Linked DNA regions of Kluyveromyces lactis. The protein of the gene in region 2 interacts with the protein of the main gene of each other region in a pairwise test. Links are inferred from orthologs where the notes say so. Each region holds a gene or a part of one and is shown on either strand. Other genes may lie near its edges.

Region 1 (7,606 bases), on a different chromosome or scaffold from region 2:
TGCCCGGTAAGTACTGTTCTTGCATTTAAATACTGGGAGAAATACTTCACCATGTTCCGTTAAACCAAAAATAATGACTCCTCCAAATCCTATAACAGAGTCTAATAAAACAATAAAGATTGATAATGTGTTTTCCGATGATGCACATGTACTCCTTATGATCTCCTTGATTTTCATAGGAAATTCGCACTGATACAGAAATGAAAAAAAAGAATTGGCATTCTTAGACCATCTTTGTAAATAAACGCTGGGCAGCAAAGATATTGCCATACCGAAACTCTCCCAGTAAATCCATCGAATCTCTTTGAGTAGTAATACATCATGGTTAAAGAAGCAGCTCTTGAAAGATTGTTGGTCCATGCAAAGAAGAATAATTGTGAAATCAGTGATGATCTAGAGTTTCGAATTGACCCGGTGACTGGTGTAGGTGCATACTTGAAGCATAAGCTACATAATAAGGAAGCCCTCATAAAGATATCTCAAGATTTCATTTTAACTAAGGCTGAAGCGCTTCAATACTTTGAAATTGATAGTTGTTCTTCATCAAACCCTAACGCGATTACTCAGTTGTATTTAATCGCATTGCAGTCCAATCAGTCAGCGAAATGGCAACCTTATTTGGACGTATTGCCATCTTTGGACGATATTTCGAGCCCTTTAGTATGGCAGCCGCATGAACTAGAAATAATTCGTGGTTCTGACCTATACATAAAAACCAAACGGAAGCTTGCCTCTTTGCTAGACGAATGGTATGAGATTTTAACGGAACTGAATTTGTGCAGTGAAAAAGCGAAGAAGTACTATGAACTTCAAGATAGAGACAATATAGCTGTTGAGAAATGCTATTCAGTGGATTCTTTTGCTGCCTATCTGTGGGCGCATTTGATATTTTCTTCGAGGGCTTTTCCATCCATAATTTATGATAATTCAGCGGGTTTGGAGGAGGGCTTTCTTCTCCCAATCGTCGATCTTTTAAATCACAAAAGTGACACGAAGGTACACTGGAAGTCAGAAGGTTCCTTTATAACATTTAGTTCCGAGGAAATAATTGAAGCCAAGGGTGAATTGTATAACAATTATGGTGATAAATCAAACGAGGAGCTTTTGCTCGGATACGGTTTTGCAATTGATTCCAACCCACATGATGCCACGTCTATATCTTTGAAACTAGATGAAAAAACACTATCTGAAGCATCAAATTACGGTACTGAAATCAACCCGAACAACGTATCTGGTGATTCCGTTAGATTCGATATTTCATTGAAAGATCCACTTCCAGTTCCGTTAATTAAGCTCTTTGGATTTATCTCAAAACTAAAATCAGAGAAAAACATTACTGTACGTGCCGTGCTTGAAGGTCTAGATCAACTGTATGCTTTATTACATCAAAAGATAGCTATTTTCAAAGCTAAGACCAAATTCGAATCGCATAATATCCGGAACGAATCGATCATAAAGAATGCAAAAATTTACTTAACAGGACAGCGAAGGCTTTTTCATTCCTCTCAGGAAGAACTGCAAAGGGAAATGAAAGCTATTATGAAGATTTATAAACCAGTGTCTTTCAAATCTATCTACAAGCTTGACCCTGAGTTTTCGAGCAGTTTATCGTCATGTTTAAACGTCTCATCCTATGAAGAGCTTGTCAAGAAAGGTCTTGCTCAACATGCACTTTTACTCTGGATTGTCAAAGCTCACAATGCTAAGTTTTATAAAAGTCCCCACTCGCCTTCATTCGTTAGCGATACCTTTAATGATGTCGAGCGCAATATCACGATCGAAAAGGACGATGTCTTAGAATACATGCAATTTTACCAAGCGTTTTTCCCTAATCTCTCACAGATGTTTCCTAAAGTGTACAGTGTAGGAAGTTGGTCCATAAAGGACTTCATTATCGCTGGTGTGGTGATGGACCGTATTGTATGGTTGAGAATGGCAAGCAATGAATATTTCCTATTCGAAAAGCAAACATTTGATTTCAAAAGATCCTATTCCTAACAGCAGTAAGAGTGGCGTAGTACCAATCCAATACGCTGAGGCTTTTATGTCAGTAGCCTGGATACCTATACCACTGACTAACTAATGCTCATCTTCACTTGATATATCGTCGAATTCATTTCATTCAGTTACTTGGATTAGTCAAGTGCTGTCAAGGGCCCTTTAATTTACTACTGGTTCATTTTTCAGAAAGTCCATCCCTCAATTTTGTCCTTCTCACAACTTCATTGTTCTTCGTGGTCCGTTTATAAGCATTGCATCTTTGAATTCTGCTTAATAAGAGATTTTGTTTGGATTCTTTTATTAAGGCGCGAAAAACTTTCCACTAGTTAGAGAACAACCATAAAACTATAACGAATATCAACATGAGGTTAATAGAAAGAAAAGTGGTATTTCAATTTTAATATAAAATATTAGATAACTATACTATCATATTAATAGTACAGGAACAAGCATTATCTTTTATAATTGATTCTGGGTAAAATATAGCATACTTTCATTTCTTGATGAATTTAGTGGGAGCCAGCAGCTCTGCTAACCTTTTCCAAGACAGACTCGTAAGCGACTTCAGAGAAATCGGTACCTTGAATATCAGAGGAAACACCATTCAAAGCTCTTCTCAATGCGTCCTTAGAAGAAGCATAAACCATCTTGCTTCTCACAGGAGCAGTATCTGGGGACCAAGTGAAGAAAACAATCTTAGATCTCTTACCTTCGTTGTTACCCAGTTCATATTCAAAATCGTAAACTGCGTACAAACAGTCGTTCTCTGGCAATTGCTCCAAAAACTTATCGTAATCTTGTTCAGCAGAAGTTTCCTTCACAATAATTTCAGTTTTGCTGTCGTTCAAAGCATACAAAATGAATTTGTACTTCTTTCCCAATTTCAAATCATTGAAAGCGTTCAAAGACTCATCTGCTACGGCAACACTGTTATGAATTCGTTTTTAATACAATCCCTACTTTCCTTTTAGATCTTTGGTTGTTCAAGATAGCACAATATCTGAATATTCAATTAATCAGGTACCAATTCCATCATAGGGAAAGTTGGTGGTATCGTGTGTTCTTCAACCAAAGAAACAAAAGAGGATAAGAAAAAGATCATGTTTTAAACTCGTGTTAGTAAACTCGTTTGCAATTAGCTGGAAGTATGCGGCGACAATTGTTATAAACTGCCATTATAAGGGTGGAGATAAAACAAGGCAGATTAATCAACAGAAACAAACATTCAAAAAAAATATCAGGAACGGTAGATACCTTTAATATTTGATTTCACGCCAGGCACCCTATAATCTTATACCCAATTGCTACTTATGTGTGCATCGGTTAAGGATTGGGCTTTTTTCAATGTTTGTTTTTGTTTTTAACACATATGTGGTCCTTAATATATTAAGTAAAGACCTTCTCTCAAAATTACCCCTATACTTTATAATATGGCTTTTACACATACCCTGATCTGGACATCTTGTGGATACTTATAATTGGCTGTGGTACACTGTAATAGAGAAATAAAGGAGAATAATGAGAAGGAATCTAAAAAAAATCCCATTCAATTCTGCTAACGGCAAAAGTCATGTAGGTTCTGTCAATTCAATGGTGAAATTATAAGATCACTATTTTTTTTAAGTTTTTTGGGAAATGTAAACCTCCCTTGTGATCGTAATGTACGAAACAATAAGAATGCACACTTCAATGCTTTTCTGTGGAAAATACTATAGAAACATTGCCTTTCACGGTGAAACTAAGTATTTTGTAGGTTTCAATCATGTGTGTGTTTGCAACTCCATATCCTTCAATTTTCTTACATATTAATGCCCGTAAGCTCTAGACTGTTTTCTTTTCCCGAGGGTCGGTAGATCTGTTTTAATTAGTATATTATACAATGATACCTGACACTGTGGTGTTGATCAATCGACTTGTTGATCGAGTCAACACCCTTGAACTCACATTAGGAGAATATTCCATCAATGATATGAGGATAAGGGGAGCCTTAGCTGAATTACAAAAAAATTCGCAGCTAATCCTGAAGAATGGTGATAAAAACCTGAAGGAGATGCACCGGTATCTAATAGCGTTCGGCAATAATTCTCATCTTGGCGCTAACGAAGCTCAAGTATGGTTTGAAGCTCATCATTCGGAACTCTTGAAAATGTTAGATATGTTAATGAATCTCGACACAAAACTCACTGAAAGTCTGGATCTAACCCTTGGTTCGTTTGGATCACGAATCCCTGACTGTGTTCTGGAATTGACACAGCTGCACAATGTAACGAGAACTGTGATTCAGCTGGTCCTGAAATCTTTTCTAGTGATAAATCGGTTTATTTGCTTATCAACTCAACAGGAAGAAATGATTCTTGACGTTGAGAGCAGACTTAATAGGTTGCATGGGATTCTACGGTGTAGTGAAAGCGAGGTTTCAATATAGCGTTTGTACTAAATCATACCCAACACTATTAAATTCCTATTGTGCTTCGTTTTCCATCACAGTGCTAAACTACAGACCGATTCTACACTTGAAAAATACAGAATATTACTCATGAAGGCGGCTATTAGAATGGTGATCACTCCATTTCTATCAGGGTGACCTCTAATTGAGATGTTAGGCCAATTTCTGTTACTTTTTTTAGGTAAGGGTGGAATCAGCACTTCCATCAGTGCATACATTGAGTATACCTCACTGCTCATTTCAAAAATCATCATCCTTTCGAATTGCGGACTACTTTGGTTGCTCTTGTCGTATAGTTGTACAGTCCAGATTATGTGTTTATCTGTTCGACCAGTATGTGAAATGTGACCGAGTGAATCTCGGTACTGTCTCGGTACTGTTGACGCTAGGTATCAGTACGATGTAATCCTGGTCTCTCTGTGTTATGGATGTGAAACTCTCCTAAACATGTAGACACTATATCTAATGTATGATCGACCTTACTGTCCTATCATAAGACACCAGGTGCATACATCCACATAATTGATTAAACAGCTAATTAACAATAGCATCTCCGAATAGACCCGCTAGGGGTTATGAATTTCCTCCACGTGACTCGAATCCTTCGATGCCACACAAGCTTTCTCTCGCCTAGTTTTTTTTGGTTGCATGCATACATATCAGAACCGCATTAAAAAAAAAAAGAGAACGCGATCAGCATCTTTTATCAATGAGAAGGAGGATGTAAAATAAAATTAAGGTTCCTTGTCATTAAGTTGATATACACAGCTGAGATAAAATGCCTATACACTGTTATGATCCAACGAGAACATCTGCTGTATGGAGGATACACACTTGATAGAGGGTTCAAAAGCCCCTCTATATATAATAGAGTCGGAGAGGGATTCCACTGAAGATCTAAGTAAGAATGTGTCATCCTTGATATCAGATAACGAAGTACCTCAGGGGAGGCACCTTGGAATTTTTTCTACTGTTATTCTCTTTGTGTCAAGGATAGTTGGTGGCGGTATCTATTCTGTTCCCAGCAGTGTTTTCGTGAATTGCGGTGGGAATGTGAGCCTGTTTCTATTCGTTTGGTTGTGTGCTGCAGTGATGGCTTTTATCGGTATGTCAATGTTTTTGGAGCTAGGCACTATCTTGCCAAAAAGTGGCGGAAGAAAAAATTTCCTTGAATTTTTATACGATAAGCCGCCAATGATGACGACAGTTATTTTATGCACATATTGTCTAATGACTTGTTTTGCTATGTCGCCTGCGATGATATTAGGAAAGTATATATTATACGCCTTAGGTTATGGTGAAGACTTTGTTAACAAGGAGTCGTATGCTTCTAACTATATTGGAATAGCTGCTATTATGGTTATAGTGTTTGTGCATGGTCTCTCTCTTAACCATGGCCTCATCATTCAGAATATTTTGGGGATTATAAAATTGGTCATTGTGCTCCTAATGTCCTTAGCAGGAATGTATGTGACACTATTTTATCATAATGCTTCTTATGACATAACCCAGCCGTCGCTATTATTTAGTGCTGCTGTGCAAAGCTCTGAAGCGATCAGTAGTGCATCATTGACTTCTGCGTTTATCCAGTGCTTTTATTGTTTCGCTGGATGGGATACTGTTCACACCGTTACCTCCGAGATCAAGGATCCTAACAGGACATTGAAATTGGCTGGACCTCTTTCGCTTCTGATGGCTCTAATATGCTACCTTTCTCTGAATATTGCATACATAAAGGTGCTCACTTATGAGGAGATCAAGAATGCTGGACCTTTGCTCGGATCTGTTTTATTTTCTAAGATTTTCGGAAAAGCCGTGGGAGCACAATTCATTAATATCTCCATAATCCTTTCTGCAATATCGAACCTTTTTGTTACTGTGTATGGTATTTCTAGAATGAATCAGGAAATATTTAGAGAGGGTCTGTTTCCTTTTTCTGCACAATTGGCCAGAAATTGGCCTTGTAATTCCCCACTTCCCTCTTTGTTAATTTGCGGCATAGTCAGTTCTTTTTGGCTATATCTACTTCCAGGGACAGGAGCTGCTTTCGATTACTTGATCAATTTTGAGGGATATGGGAATCAAATAATGTTACTTTTAGTTGCTGCTGGATTACTCGTCAGGAGAGAACGTCTAAAAAGATACCAATTTCCTTCGAGAACACCAATTGTGGGGGTGGTCGCCTTTCTGCTTCTCTCCGTATACTTGAGTGTTGGTCCATTTTTTGGTAATGGAACCGGCAACTCTGTTGGGAAGTTTCCCTCTTATCAGTACGCAGCTATTTTCCTATTCGCACTTTCCGTGGGCTTCTGGTTCATGAAGTTTGTATTGCTTCCCAGATTGTTTAAATACACTCTTAGAAGCACTGTTGTTGTACAAAATGACGGACTAACAGTTGTGGACTGGAGGAGACATCCTGTAGAATAGAACTCAGGAAATTTGCTGAAGAATAATAAAATGTTTAAAACTTTTCTGCGACTATTATATATTGAATTATTACTACTCCCGATTAAATAATACTTCTCAATTTGCATTGAGCTTTTTGACAAATGATTCTTTGGCTAATTGTATCAAGACTTCTAATTCTCCACTATCTTCACACATATGATAGAATATACTATCACGATTCAACAATAAGGAGTAAGGATGATCATATTCTTTAACCTCCCCAGCATCCATAACAAGTATTTTATCATAATCAATAATTGATCGTAAACGATGAGCAATCGTGAGAATGGTACTATTACTGAATTCTTCCCTTATAGTAGCCTGGATTTTAGAGTCTGAGTTATAATCGATTGAAGCTGTGGCTTCATCAAGTAGAATTACCTTTGGACACCGCAATAATGAACGGGCCAAACATATCAATTGACGTTGTCCTTGTGAGAGGTTGGAACCACCTTCACTGACTTCATTTTCCAAATCCAAAAACTTATTCATATTTGCTGAATGTACCGAGGTTGAATCCGAAGTAGAAGGATTACCAAGTTCTTCTGAGGAAACAAGGTTGACACGTTTTAGAGCTTCGAAAATTTCAGCTTCCGAATATTCGTTGTATGGATCGAGATTGGTTTTCAAAGTACCGGTGAAAAGGGTTGGGTCCTGTGGAATAATAGTGATAGATTGGCGCAAACGTTTTAAACCAATGGTTGTTATATC
Region 2 (8,368 bases):
ATGGGAAATTAGTTAGTATATTTGAGATGCAAGTGTCTGCCATGAAAACTCACCAGTCGGATCAAGAAGATATAGTTGGCTCGCCAGTAAGATCAAATGACCTGGTAAGGCGCCAATTGAACTTCTCAATAACGCCGAACTCTTCTCCAATGAAGCAAGTTCCAAATCTATCTGCGAATATTGTTGTGTCAAGACCGAAATATGGACCAAACTCCCCAATGCGGATCGGCGATATTGGATTGCAGTTGTCAGAAACACCAAAGACGCTTGGTAGAACCCTGGATTTGAAAAGTTCTCCCTTCAGCCCATCGCCGCTGATTAAAAGGCCGGTGAAGACACTGTCCCAATTAGCGAAGGAACATGCCATTATAAAAGACGAATTCGAATCTAACCCAGAAGATTTCAGCGAATTCACTGCGATTAGAACGCTTATGGAAAAGCTGATGCAGGAAGAACATATGGATATAATTGAAGAGGGGGACGAGGGAACTGTCGGCAATGAAACTGAGAGCAATTATGTGCGGAAAGTTAAAACCATAAAGAAAAGAACAAAAGCGAAGATGAGACCAGCAGCATTAAACGAGAAGTCGACCAACATTCCAGACAAAAATGTTCATGAACAGCTAGCAAAGTTGAAGGAACGTGAGTACAATAAAATGCTGGGTAAAGAAGTGGAAGAAAGTGAGTCTGACTCTGAACAACAATCCAATCCACCCGTAAAGAAGAAGCAACGTAAGAGTAAATACAACCTTGTTAGCAACAACTTCAAGCGTTTGAATCTTCCAACAAAGGCAGGAAGAAACAGAGCCAGTAAATGGAGAGGAAGAAGGTGATTTCTTCAAAGTCAGAACGTTAAAAACAAAGAAACAGACGTAACGAACGGGATGATACAGTTGTTGCAGTCTATGTACTATAAATGTAAATAAATATAATCTTTTACACGCATTCCTTTTTGTTATAGATCAGTGTAGAAAGGATTTTATCAGTTTGTTAACAATTGGAGCATACCCTCTATCTTTTGTGCTTCTTTTGCTTTGCGGATCTCTTCCCTTACTCTTTTCTTTAGAGTGATTACCATCTCTTCAAGTACTGGGGACTTCTCCAGTACACTACCGTAGAGTTCAATTACAACCGCAATCCAGTCTGCAACAATTGGTGCACTTCTAACATCTTCTATTCCCTTCAAGCACCAGTTGAGTAGTGGTTCTAGAGAACTTTCGTCTCTACCGTATAATGCAACCTTGATTTTACCTCTTTTCCTTAGTTCTTGTAATACCGTTAAAGTTAATTCTTTAGCCATACCGGGGATAAATGCAGAATCTAATGCGTCAGACCATTTGAATTGGTTGATATGCCTTTCGAATTGACGCAACTTACGCTGAGGATTTGGCTTATCGTTGTGTATAATATGCTCTTGATCACCTCTGTATTCGGACCCTCTCATCATTCTCTGGAAATTGTTGGATTTCGCAGACTTCTCTTGCTGTTGTAATGGTAAATCCTCCAAATCAGAGACATCAGCGAGGTTAATCTTTTTGGACTTCTTCTTCGTCTTGATGGCTAGAATTCCTGAGGATAAACCTGCAACGAAATGTTTATTACCTTGCGCATCGCCTGGTGAGACTGCACAACTTAGCACAGCGTTGCTAAACTTCCAGCCAAACTTGAATTGGAAGTTCTCCAACGGGGAAAAGATCTTAACATGACCATCAAGCGAGGATGCAACTAGTACGGAACTCATTGGTGATTCTTCTCCCATATTTGTGTAATTCAAACAGGTGACCGTCTTTGCGAAATTTTGACGTTCACAAAGGGCTCTATCGCTAGTCAAGTCCCATACTTTGAACCCGTTACCACCACACGATGCAAGCTGAGTAGGAGATATGGCTGTGATATCTTCCACAGGAAGACCGTGATCCAAAGTTGTCTGTGGTTTATCTGATTTCGTTCTAATATCGTACAATCTAACTACTCCATCGTACGACCCTGTAGCGACCATATGTGGAGCATTTGGCACAAAGCAGACTGATCTAACATAATCAGATGCTCCAGTTAACTGTAAAGTGGGTTCATAAGCATGAGAAACATCCCATAGTCTCACTACTCTATCGTCGTTTGCCGTCACCAAAGTCTTGTTATCCTGATCGTGAAACTTCGTCACATGCGTAGGATGCGACGAAGCTTGTATAGAAAGCAACAAAGTACGTGGATTATAACTATCATAAACGGACACTAACCCAGTAGCGTCACCTGCTACTAAAAGTTTACCGTCTTGACGGAAAGTGGCCGAATGCACCACATCTTTAAACCTAGAAAACGTCTTGATCACTTGTCTTGTCCTTGACGAGAAGACCTGTACCCTAGTAGAAGAGGTAACTGCAAAATCATGTGGATGCTGGGGATTGAAGGCAATATGAGTCACTGCATTGTGCTCTTTAACAAGCTGAGTAGATGAATAAGACCTCCAGTACCTCTGCTCTGGGGTGGTCTGCTTTGGTAACACAGGAGCCTTTACCGGCGTCACTCTAGGTCTCACAGACGACATTTTCTTCACAATATTTCTACCAATCTGATCGCCTGAATCACCTCTATCACTTAACAGTAGTCTGACGATACCAAACCGACTGATATAACTCGCAAATTACAGGGAAATCTATTTTATCAACCATGCGATGAGCTAAGGCTTCAATCATTTTTTTTTTCCAAAATCTGGTTTCTTTTCTTTGAAGACTCGAAGAATCTCGTTGATTGTGATTTTTCAGAGAAGAATAACCGTTCACTGTACTTTACAAGCAGATAAAGGGCCTTTAAGGCCCTTTATCTGCTTTTAACCTGGTTTCCCAGATTTTCTTGATTCCCAGGTATTCAGCAATACCACTTTCATTATACTAACTGGTATTTAGGATATCTTTTCTTTGTATTTCTGCATCCCAGTAGTTATTATTTCGTCTATTTACATTCCATATGTATGGAATTTATTTATACTCACCAGTTTATCAAGAAACTAAACCATGAGAACAGGACACGTTTGAGTCAGGAAGAGGTCTTTCTGGTGCGTTTACAGAGTGTTCCAAAAGTCAATTGATCTAGTATCTCGCGATAATATGGTTTCGATTAATTTAGCAAAGGTTTTTGCACCTCTCCCTTCTACAAAGAGAAACTTTACGACACATTTATCATATGATCCAAAGACTGACAGTTTAGCTTATGGTAGCGGTAGATCTGCCATCATTAGATCTTTAGATGGTGAACATGTCGTTCAATTCAATGGCCATGGTACCAGTAATGTCACTGTTGTAAAATTTTCTCCTATCCAGGGGTCTCAATATGTTGCTTCAGGAGATGATTCCGGTAGAGTTATCGTTTGGTCTTGGAATCAGGACGATAAGTCTGGAGAAATTGAGTACAACGTTAAGTCGGAACTACATGTGCTCGCTGGTCCTGTCGCTGATATATCCTGGGATTTTGAGGGTAAAAGATTGGCTGTTGTTGGTGAAGGTCGTGATAGGTTTGGTGCGTTTGTCTCTTGGGACTCGGGCAACTCGTTAGGTGAAGTCTCGGGTCACTCTCAAAGAGTCAATGCAGTTCATTTCAAGCAAAGCAGACCAATGAGAGCTTTCAGTGTCAGTGATGATGGTTCTGTTGTGTTTTACCAGGGTCCACCTTTCAAGTTTGCAAGCAGTGATAGAACGCATCACGGCCAAGGTAAATTCGTTAGAGACGTCAAGTTCTCTCCAGGTGCAGGGAAATATGCTGTGTCTGTCGGTAGCGATCGTAAGATATGTTGCTTTGATGGTAAGACTGGTGAATTTATCAAATACATTGAGTCTGAAAAGGCTCCAATTGGCGGTGGTTTGTTTGCTGTCGCATGGTTAGACGATGGTGAAGAGTCTTCTAGAGTTGTTACCGTGGGTGCTGATTGCACTGCAAGGTTGTGGGATGTGTCGTTGGATGATCCATTCCAACAGTCTTGGAAATTAGGTGCAGATGTTTCGAATCAAATTGTCGGTGTTGTTGTCACTAAGGATAACTCCATCGTAACATTGACGCTTGATGGGACCTTGAGCATTTTGTCTCTAAATGATCATACCATCAAATTCATTCATGGTCACAACAAGGGGATTACTTCTTTGGCGGTAAACCCATTAGTGTCTGGGTCATACGATGGTAGAGTTGTTACCTGGAATTCAGAAGGTGACGAAGTCAATGCTATTAGCCATGATATTCATGGTAATCTCGTATTGGCCATCGATAACTCTGATAACGAGGTATCGAGTGTTTCTTGGGACGAAACGTTGAAGAATTTCATCGATGGTGAAAAAGCGCTTGCTGAAACGAAGTACCAATTCTCAGAGCAACCTAAATGTGCGGTTTTCTCTCATAACACTTTGGCTGTTGCTACAAACACTAACGAATTGTTGATCATCGATAACAAGAGTGGGCTATTATCGAAATCGATAACTCTAGATAAACCTGTCGGGGCCCTCGCATTGGGAACTACTTTCGTGGCAGTGGCATACGAACAAACCAACTCCGTGCAGCTATTCAAAATTTCTGACCTATCAGATGCATTCACGTTGGCCACTCCATTACGTGCCACTCCATCTGCTCTTTCCTTCTCTCCATCACAAAAGTACTTGGCTGCCGGTGACGTGTCCGGTAAGATTATCCTATATGATCTTGACACGAAGGACGTCAAGACCTCGAGATGGTCATTCCACACAAGCAGAATTACATCCATTGACTGGAGACCTTCTGCAAATGATGATGATTTGGAGGAAGATTATGTTGTCACTGGCTCTCTGGACACCAACATCTTCATCTACTCTGTTAACAAACCTATGAAAGTGATAAAAAGATTAAACGCACAAAAGGACGGTGTGTCCAGTGTACTATGGGAAAACGATTCCACTATCGTCAGCGCCGGTGTGGACGCCTGTATCAAGAGGTGGACCGTCGAGTTTTGAATGAGACACATTTTTTACCAGTAACACATAAAAGTATTTAACAGTTAGTTAACGTACGAAATATAAGACAATGAATAACAATAGGAGGATCAGATGTTGCATCAAGGCCCCCCCCCCCAGAAATATCTAGAGCTTCTAGTAAAGCCGTTGAAGTTGTTCTTTCTTCTTTATCATCTCATACGTTTTGATGTTTCTCTTGAACATTGAACAGATTCCTGCCTCTCAAAGCTTATATATAAACAAACAAGATCAACAAAGCTCGGTTGAAAGCGGATATACGCATAACATTCCTTAGTAATTCTGTATTTGGAATCACCAATCAAGAAGCTTGAGTTTCTCCTATATCAGATATGGCAGCAGCAGGAAGAGGCAGGAAGAGCTCGAGGGTTTCTCGCTCAGCTAACAAAGCAACCAGCTATAAAATCGATACAGACGAGTTAGACATTGAAGATGATGAAAAGGATCAAGAGTACCCTGGACCAGCCAATGATGATGATTACGATGATGACCCAGATGCTGATATCGAAAACGAGGGTAAACCATCTCGTTCCAAGCGCAAGGCCGCTTCGAGCACACCTGTTCCAGTGGTACTAGCGACAAGAGGAAGGCCTTCAAAGAGGAAAAGAGAAGAAGATTTGAACGATCCCTTAAGACAGAAACTACCGTACCCAGTGGACGAAAACGGGTCTCCATACCCAATTGTGAATGACGAGTATTCATTACCTGAGGATCCAGAGGGTGAAACCAAGATCACCAAGAATGGTGATCTTCTAGAGGGAAGACAATTTGTAGTCAGAACTTTCACGGTACCTTCCAGAGGTGAAGTTAAATACATGCTTTCTACTGAGCCAGCCCGTGCCGTTGGGTTCAGAGACTCATACTTGTTCTTCCAGTACCATCCAAACCTATACAAATTGATTATCTCGCAATCAGAGAGAGACGATCTCATCAAAAATGGTGTATTGCCCTATTCGTACAGAAACAGAATCATTGCGCTAGTTACTGCAAGGAGTGTGTTCCGAGAATTCGGAGCCAAGGTTGTTGTAGATGGTAAAAACATCACGGATGATTATTACGCCGGTAAGCTTCGTGCATCCGGGAAGGTGAAAGAGGGTACCCCAGCAAGAGAAACATCACACACAAGTGTCACTGGAAGAAATACCCTTGGAATAGACATTCCGCAACAATTATCCGTCAACCCATCCAAAAATGCAGTAGAATTCTTTGACAAGAGAAATCACAACATCCCGGCAACAAGCAATATCTCATCTACGAACTGGCTCTATCATCATGCTGCTGCATGCAGTAGATTCAACAGTGATCTTTTCTACGATAGAGAACGCATTCTTCTCATCGAAAACCTCGGACTAAGAGATACGTACACGAACGTCTTACATATACCACAATCCACACAATCGACGAGAGTGATATCAGTGAAGAAAGTGAAAGGAAACACAAGCCAAGTTATGTACGAAACAAGAATCAAAGCTCTTGACCTAGCAAGACCTTGCACCGGTCTTTCTGACGTCCCTACATCGATGTACGAAGACATCTTGGACGAAGATATAGTCGCTGCTATAGAAGAACAAAAGAGATTCGAAACAAGCCTATAACATAGCTGAACTGACCTCCCATGTATACGTGTATATCTCAACATACGTAATAAGAGTGTATTATACTAAGTGGCCGGGTAACGATATGTCCTTGCTCTACCAAAAATGAATTTGGGCTTTTCAACCAGAACAACCCCATAAGGTGAACAGACAAGGCCATTTGCCACCGATAAAAGGAGCGTTAGCAGTTACATTTGCAATCTACAGTGGTTGCATTGTGAATTTAAGACCCTATAGTAGTGTAAAATAGCCAGGTGTTTGTTGAAACGGCTGTTTTTGTCTCGGTTTGTTTCGGTGTTAACAAAGATTTTCCACTGGTTTTAAATTCGAAAAGTCCTGTTAGGTAAACGGTATAGCAATCAGACTCGGCTAACCGTAGCAGCGACGTGGTGGTTTTATTACATTGAAGTGACTTGCAATGTTCCATTTAATAAGGCCGGTATCTAGGCTTGGCGTAAAGTCTGTGGCCAGTAGGGCGTTGTACAAAGTTCCAAAGGGGCGTTCGCTGATATTGTTACGAAACGACGTATGCCGTACGTTCCATTCCGGTAAGCTCAACTTGATGCAGAATCGGTTTGAAAAGGAGCCTACGGATGAAGACGTTGATAAAGTCAGGAAAGAAGTTAGAAAGTTTATCGATGATTTGAACAAAGATCAGAAACTCGATATGGAAGAGCGTAAGAAGAAGATTGAAGAGCAATTACAGAGGTTGGAGCTTGCTGTGAAGAGGCAGCAGGAAAAAGAAGATGCCCAAGATAAAGCGAATGATCCTTTCCATCTAGAGCGCGAGAAGAGAGAATTTGAAGAATCGGCGAAGAAGCATGATCCCAAGAATGATCCCAAGAATGAGTCTAAGAAGAGTTCCAACGGAAATACGGATTTCACACCAAATGATTCGAATATGATGACTGTTAACATCAATTTATTCAAAGTTGGTTTGACATTGACGATATTAGCATTTATCCTACACAGATTGAACAGCATGGAGGAACAAAGAGAACTTACATGGCAAGAATTCCGTAACCAGTTGTTGGTGAAAGGGTACGTGTCCAAATTAATTGTTATCAATAATAATCTAGTCAAGGTTATCTTGAACGATAACGGGAAAAATCAACCTGAACATATGGGCCACGATTTTTATTTCTTTACGATCGGATCCGTGGAATCATTTGAACATAAATTGAAGAAAGCACAAGATGAATTGAATATCGCGGAAGACTTTAGAATTCCTGTTCTTTACACTAGAGAGGGGAATTGGGTCAAATTAGCTTTCCAAATATTACCAACTGCACTATTGATTGCAGGTTTGATTTGGATTACTACAAAGGGTGCATCCGCTGCCGGTGGTGGCCCAGGTGGTTTATTCAACGTGCGTAAATCAAAGGCCAGAAAGTTTAATAAAGATACCGACGTAAAGGTCAATTTCAAGGATGTTGCTGGTTGCGATGAAGCCAAGGAAGAAATCATGGAATTCGTTAGTTTCTTGAAAGAACCATCCAGATACGAAAGAATGGGTGCCAAGATTCCAAGAGGTGCAATCCTATCTGGTCCTCCCGGTACTGGTAAGACTTTGCTAGCAAAGGCTACTGCTGGTGAAGCTGGTGTTCCATTCTATTCTGTGTCTGGTTCCGAATTCGTAGAAATGTTTGTCGGTGTTGGTGCGTCCAGAGTCCGTGATTTGTTCAAGACCGCTAGAGAAAATGCTCCAGCTATTATCTTTGTTGATGAAATCGACGCTATCGGTAAGGCAAGACAAAAGGGTAACTTCTCTGGTGCCAATGACGAAAG

Evidence for each region.
Region 1: the proteins of AIP1 (region 2) and COF1 interact in a two-hybrid assay, tested with the Saccharomyces cerevisiae proteins (2 studies listed by BioGRID). The link is inferred for Kluyveromyces lactis from reciprocal best matches to the Saccharomyces cerevisiae genes AIP1 and COF1.

What each region holds. Positions count from the first base shown.
Region 1 is NC_006041.1:32,203-39,808, forward strand, and holds COF1 (cofilin), read right to left. Parts: upstream 3,463-7,606; coding exon 3,449-3,462; intron 2,929-3,448; coding exon 2,511-2,928; downstream 1-2,510. Other genes in the region: EFM1 (protein-lysine N-methyltransferase), read left to right, coding at 322-1,998; KLLA0_E00485g (uncharacterized protein), read left to right, coding at 3,881-4,426; MUP3 (Mup3p), read left to right, coding at 5,267-6,874; KLLA0_E00529g (uncharacterized protein), read right to left, coding at 6,971-7,606. UniProt on the Saccharomyces cerevisiae protein: Controls reversibly actin polymerization and depolymerization in a pH-sensitive manner. It has the ability to bind G- and F-actin in a 1:1 ratio of cofilin to actin. Binding to F-actin is regulated by tropomyosin.
Region 2 is NC_006042.1:1,270,709-1,279,076, reverse strand, and holds AIP1 (Aip1p), read left to right. Parts: upstream 1-3,104; coding exon 3,105-4,967; downstream 4,968-8,368. Other genes in the region: SLD2 (Sld2p), read left to right, coding at 1-833; snoRNA-binding rRNA-processing protein UTP15, read right to left, coding at 983-2,545; NPL6 (Npl6p), read left to right, coding at 5,318-6,580; m-AAA protease subunit YTA12, read left to right, coding at 6,999-8,368.